Linked DNA regions of Drosophila melanogaster. The protein of the gene in region 1 interacts with the protein of each later gene in a pairwise test. Each region holds a gene or a part of one and is shown on either strand. Other genes may lie near its edges.

The links.
Region 2: the proteins of Jon66Cii (region 1) and lama interact in a two-hybrid assay, tested with the Drosophila melanogaster proteins (one large-scale study listed by BioGRID).

Annotation. Positions count from the first base shown.
Region 1 is NT_037436.4:8,392,115-8,395,320, reverse strand, and holds Jon66Cii (jonah 66Cii), read left to right. Parts: upstream 1-1,671; 5' UTR 1,672-1,674; coding exon 1,675-2,463; 3' UTR 2,464-2,501; downstream 2,502-3,206. Other genes in the region: Jon66Ci (jonah 66Ci), read right to left, coding at 2,981-3,206.
Region 2 is NT_037436.4:5,353,750-5,357,687, forward strand, and holds the start of lama (lamina ancestor), read right to left. Parts: upstream 2,175-3,938; 5' UTR 1,945-2,174; intron 1,598-1,944; exon of another isoform or gene 866-1,597; intron 39-865; exon of another isoform or gene 1-38. Other genes in the region: Klp64D (Kinesin-like protein at 64D), read right to left, coding at 3,472-3,938. UniProt on the Drosophila melanogaster protein: Putative phospholipase. Involved in the regulation of cellular plasticity in imaginal disks.

The DNA.
Region 1 (3,206 bases):
AATTTAAGTGATGTCATGTCAAGAAATGGTTTTTTTATGTATATAATATGGTGTTTTTATATTTTTTGTTTTTCACGTGCAATTGTTAAACGCGTTGCCTTGCACATTCGCGAGTGCTGACTGAAAGTATGCAATGTTTATTTGCGAAATGCCCTATGCACAGTTTGACACTCACTGAGTCTGTGCGGTTTGAGAGCCGCTGACAAGCGGAATGCGGAGAATTTGAAATTTGTGAGCTTTTTGCTACGTGGAAAGTTGTGCATGCTTCTTATTCCACAAAAAACGGAGAAAAAGGAAAAGAGTGGCCACAGCACCGACACCGAAGACTCCGATCAACAGCGCCACCCCCATTTACACTTACATTTAAATTGTACAGATTCCACTTGGGCATTCCAGCAAATCCAGGAAATAAGTTGCGGAATAAGTTAATTGAACAAATAAAACAATAATAATAATAATAATAACTTGGTTTACTGCTTCTTCGCGGGTATTTTCCGATAACGATATCGCAGGTGTATCGGTGTAGCTTTTATTTATAAGGATATTCACACTTTTATATATTAATAGCTTTTGACAATTTCTTGATCTTTTATTTTTAATCATGTATTTAAATAATAATACTATGTCGGGAAATGAAATAATGAGGCCAAACTTACAATAACATTTTTTTAATAAATACAAAACCATGTTTAAGATGTTTTTAAGCATATATAAAATTTATAGTGTTCCAATAAAATGATATTTAAAATATAAATATAATATAATATAAAATATATGAAAAGAATAATCGCGGCGGATAGCACTACAAATTAACTAAATACGTTTCCTAATGCTATATTTAAAACACTTAAATTTAAATCCGTAAGACTCATATAATCTATTTAAATAAAACAAAATACTAAAACCAATATCTTATCTTTTCTAATTGCAATCACTTAAGCTAATGAAAGTGTCGCGAATATTTACTGGTGTCATATATAGCTAATGAATAATCTATGAACTTCTGAATGGGGAAAAACACTTTGACTCTTTTTGATACTCACATATTCACATCCGAAAGACATTGTAAATATTTAAATCTAATCAAATGTTGCCTGTTTTTAAATGTTTAGATAAGATTCTAGGGAATCGTAAATTAAAACAAATCATTTTCGGTATATTAAATTTATATTAAACATAATTAAGAAAAGTAATTATTTGTGCCACGATGAACTTTTTCTATAAAAAACTTTTTTTTTAGTTTTCTATAAAAACTATTATGAATAAAGTGAATTCTGAGAACAATAGTTTGTGTACCTATCATACCACTTTTCAAGCCTTTTATTGTTCAGTAAATAAAAGGTCTAATGATAAGAACCGTAACTCATAATTGAATCATCGCATCTTGAAAGTTACATATAACAATTCCATATTGGTCATAGTTTTGCTGTGATTAAAGTTTAATATGAATTTAAGTCATATGGATTTGTTATCTCATTTGCTTCCATTAAACATTTCACACGGCTCCATTCATGAGCACTTTTAGCCAAGTTAGACTTTTAATAATATATTACCATTATTCTTTATCGCCTGTTTGTCGGAACGGGCATTTTATATGACCCACCATCTAGCCAGATACGATTAAGGTATAAATACTCCGTGGGCATTCCCAAGTTTTCAAGCTTTTCCAGCAACATGAAAGCATTCATAGCTATCCTGGCTTTGGCTGTGGCCTCGGCCTCTGGCGCCACCATGCCCCGTTTGGCCACCGAGAAACTGACCCCGGTCCACACCAAGGACATGCAGGGTCGCATCACCAACGGCTATCCGGCTGAGGAGGGCAAGGCTCCCTACACCGTCGGTCTGGGCTTCAGCGGCGGCTGGTGGTGCGGTGGTTCGATCATCGCACACGATTGGGTGCTCACCGCCGAGCACTGCATCGGAGATGCTGACTCCGTAACTGTCTACTTCGGAGCCACCTGGCGCACCAACGCCCAGTTCACCCACTGGGTTGGCAACGGTAACTTTATCAAGCACTCATCCGCCGATATTGCCCTCATCCGCATTCCCCACGTGGACTTCTGGCACATGGTGAACAAGGTGGAGCTGCCCAGCTACAACGATCGCTACAACGACTACAACGAATGGTGGGCTGTTGCCTGCGGCTGGGGAGGCACCTATGACGGCAGCCCACTGCCCGACTACCTGCAGTGTGTCGATCTCCAGATCATCCACAACTCCGAGTGCTCCGGATACTATGGAAGCGTGGGAGACAACATCCTCTGTGTCAGGACTCCCGACGGCAAGTCCACCTGCGGTGGTGACTCCGGCGGCCCCCTGGTCACCCATGACGGTACCAAGCTTGTGGGGGTCACCAACTTTGGTTCCGTCGCCGGCTGCCAGTCGGGTGCTCCCGCTGGATTCCAGCGTGTCACCTACCACCTGGACTGGATTCGCGACCATACCGGCATTGCTTACTACTAATCGACTATATCTGATTAAAAAAAAACTTCTTGAAGCGTAAATTTAAATTTTTGTACTTTACTCGGAGTATTACTGTGGACATGACGGCTTTTATTTTTAGTTAGTATTCAATATTAAATTTAAGAATAATATTTACGGATTGTTTGAAAATTACATTTTTAAATGGTATATAAAGTGCTCATGGACTATAATGTGATTCTACAGAGTCTTTAAACATATTATATATATATGTTAAGGTTGTGTCATTTAAATTATATAGATGTGGTCTTTTATAGGTAAAGAAAGATCTTAGATCTTATAATGGGATTGCTCTTAAGTCTTAGTTGCGGTTTTTTGTTTTACAGGATGTGTAGTAACAGGATTAAAACGATTGGGGATTCTTAAAGCTTGCTGAAATACTTAAAATTATTTCAATAATATTATTATTTCAATGATATTAATGACCAAATTCAACCCATAGTTATAAAACAATTTAAATTTGCACTTTAAATATTTTTATTCAATCGAAAATCGTTGCTTAGTAGTAAGCAATGCCGGTGTGGTCACGGATCCAGTCCAAGTGGTAGGTCACACGCTGGAAGCCAGCGGGGTGGCCAGCCTGGCAACCGGCTCCCGACACCCAGTTGGTGACTCCCACAAGCTTGCTGCCGTCATGGGTGACCAGAGGACCGCCGGAGTCGCCACCGCAGGTGCCCTTGCCATCGACCACGCGCACGCAGATGATGTTGTCGCCGACGGTGCCG
Region 2 (3,938 bases), 3.0 Mb from region 1:
GACACTCATGTGATCTGTTACGATTCAGATACAGATATCTGAAATATATGTGGAAGTTGTTATTTAACGGCTGCCTCAACTTCGGGGTAAAGTCTAGCCGATAACCGATAGCGGCAGAGTCATTCACGGAACTTAATCAGTGCTTCCGAAGAGGCGACAAGAGCTAAAAATAAGCGGCACCATTGGTATTTCCCCTCTGAACTTTGATAAGAGTATGCGGAAAATAAAAATATCACAAAAAAATTCGCATATGTAGAAATTAAACTTTTAGTGAAAAACTGTTGAGTGCCGAAAGCAGCTCACACAAATAGCACATTTTAGTTTGGAAAAGAAGAAAATATATTTTTAACAAATATACATCGAAATATATTTATACACGCTTTGATGGTTCACTCTATCTATTTTTAAAATCTATGATCTATTTTAAAGAATGTCAAAGAAATCCAGAAGCGTAAAGATCAAACTATGAGTTCTTTGAACTCAGAATAAATTGGTTTACATTTGAAAATATGACAAGATCCACTTCTTTTAAATGGAAAACCCATTTCACTCAAAGGACAGTCACCCCTATTGCGACTCGTCGTCTTTCGAACCCCGATCCCCAGATAATCCTTATACATATGTCTATCTATCGCAGACAATGATGGGAAAAAACGTCCCCAGACAATCGGAATATGTTGACCCTATTTTTGTCGGTAAACAGATATTGCGACGCGTTCCTGATTTTTGCGATGGCATTTCGAGGTCAATAAATGATACAATGGAAGTGTTTTCACTAACAGTTAACACTTAACACTCGAGTTCAGCACTCTTCTACCGATTCGGTTTCGGAATGAGATCGAGATTGAGAGCGAAGACAACTTACCGGAAAATTGAAATGGCTCGTGACTCAGGCAAATTCCGCGCCGACAAATAAGAGAAATTCGCAGGGGGTGTGGGGGGTGTCTGGGTTCGAGATGACACTATTCGTTGGATCGCTGCTAAATTCAGCCACTGCGAACACGATTTTAACACGATTTTGCTATATAGTCACACAACGCTCACGTGTTAATTATCCATGAAGGGCTACATTGAAAAGGCGCAGGTTTAGGTGTGTATAACTTTTCCCGGATTACACTCTCAATGCGATTGGTTTGATTGGCGGCGAATGGGAACCAAACACACACACACACACACACACGGCTATTTCGATGCAAAAACTTGTGTCACATCAGATTATCGAAATGTTTGATATGGTTATTGTTGCTATGCGGCGTATTGGAAATATCAACGGCTAGTAACTAATTATACAGCGTGGTCGAGTATATGTAATGTGCTGCTTGAGTGTGTTTTTTATTGGGGAGTTTGTTAGAACGCGAGAACGTGGCGTTTATATATGAAATAAAATTTCTTTTTTGTAATTTAGTTGAGCGTCGGGCAATACTCTCAATTTCTTGCACGCGTTACGTATATATTTTTAGCGTCGGCAATTGCACATCCAAATGAAATTGAACAGATAACAACGAACTGAAAACTCGAGTTCAACACGCAAACACAGATCACAGAGAATTAAAGCGATTTTCCTTCCGTTTCGACTATGCGCAGCGGACAGACTGATATTGTGGGCCTGGGGCCGAAGAGTTTTACGATCGCTCGGTTCGGTCTGTCCGCCGAAAGTGCGAGAGCAACCACTCAACTACACTCGACAACAAAACAGTCATTTATTTTGAATATGGTGTTGAATTTAATATATAGTCTATATGAAATGCTATGTGAATCTTGTTTATTTTATACAGAAATATATACTAAATTAAAATGAACCTGCTATCTGATATTCAAGTTTCTAAAAAAGTCCTAATAAAACCGATAGCTTCATGATTGATCATGATTACTATTTCCTTGTAGCTTGGTGTTTCGGTTATTTGTTTCCACTCAATTGGCTGCCAGTGGAGTGAGTAACTTTACCTTGCTCTCGGTGATTTTTCACTCCGATCTTTTTCTTTCACCTGGCAACGCAATTCTCTTTTTCACTTGGCAGATTGGTTTAATGTGAATATATGTAAATTGAACAGTTATTCGTGACGTCTTACTGCGATACCGCTGTCCGCTGAGTGGAGCTCCGCCCCCCAATTCGCAACTAGCTGCAGCTAAATGGGCAAACAAAACGTGCGGCGATAAGAGCAAACTGATAAAGCGGAAATGCTTTCAGCCAGATTCATTTGGGTAGCCTAAAATCTAAGCTGCGACAGGCGTAGAAATTCGCACAAAGGTAAATAAATAATGGATAAAAGTACAGTTTGCTTTCCTTATCGCAGGCTTACCTGCCCAAACAATCGCATCCCCTGCAGGTGGGATGAGTAATCCGGTATCGAAATAACACCTGAACGGACGGCATTTAAGCGAAACGAACATCAAAAAAAGAAGAAAGGACTATTAAATTATGACATTCTTATTTATCGTTCGACTTAAAGCTTTCACATTCTTGGGTTTATTTTAATTTTAAATTATCAGCAACCCAGATTTTTAAATTCCTTACGATTGACTTTTTTCATTTTGCCTTAGAACCTTTTTTGGCGCTGTGCTTTGTTTGCGTTGTGTCAAGCGATTGGCATCTGGTTCCATAGTGTAGCGGTTATCACGTCTGCTTTACACGCAGAAGGTCTCCGGTTCGATCCCGGATGGAACCAGGAGGAAGTAACTTTTTTTTATTTTTATTTTTTTAAACGCTTACTAAGTGGAGTTTTAGCAAACAAAAGTATATAATATGTTATATATAATTCTTTCGTGTTCATAGTATACACAAAAATCAGTTGTTTTTACTTAAGTATTATTTAGTATTTTGTGGGAATAAAAAACTTGAATTTATGTTTTCTGTCGTAATAAAAATTAATAAACATATAATGAATTTAAAAAAATATATACTTTTGTCAACGTGGTTCCATCCGGGATCGAACCGGAGACCTTCTGCGTGTAAAGCAGACGTGATAACCGCTACACTATGGAACCTGTTATGAGTAGGTCGGCCAAATTTCAGTTTTCTTCAGCAAGCCCGGAAAATTTAAAGCATGCTTTCAAGCTGCTAAAAAATAAAAAGAAATTACGCATAATTCCTTGAAGTAAGAATATAAAATAATTACGTGTGAGTATCATATTTTTATTTAAAAGCCAAGAGCACACAATAGTTATATATTTGTGCCTAATCGGGTAAAATCTTGTTACTACTTAGTTGTAAGTATTATAAAATAAATATAAGTTAGAAAGTAAAATTACAAACACAGTAGTAAATATATTGCACCGTTGTTCAACCTAAAAAGTATGTCCTAAGCAATAAATCAACAAAAACTAAGGTCTAACAAAAAGGAAATTCGCTGAGCAAATGAATCTGAGGCTGTAGAAAATCAAGATTAGCAGGAGCAGAAACCAAAATTGGACGCGCAGACCGCCGAGGACATGCAGCTGGACTAGCAGTCGATTGTCCTTCCAACACTAGCTTCAATATCGCCTGGCAGTCGTCGGTCTGGGCACACCCGAGGTTCGCGGCCTGGCGGATTTGGAGCGCATTGGATTGGACACGCCATCGGTGTTGTAGCTGAGATAGACATGTGAGAGATCGAGGAAATCTGGCTCCTTGCCACTCGTCTTGTGCGCCGAGATGTGTTTCCTCATATTGTTACCCGTGTAGGCCACACACTTCAGCTGCCACTCGCCGATGTCCTCGTTCCAGTGCGTATACTGATTAATCATCGATTGGTACTCCTTGGGCACATAGGAATTTAATACCAGCTCACATAAGGCCAATTCCCTGGATAGGCTCCTGATATTCTCGTATATGCCCTCCTTTTCGCGCTGGTGCTCCTGCTGCTGATCCGCCAGCTCCGATTTCACGCCCATCAGCATCTGCATCACCCGGTGTATCTTCTTGGTAATGCCAGTGCTGGCATCTTGAAGCGTGGAGTAAC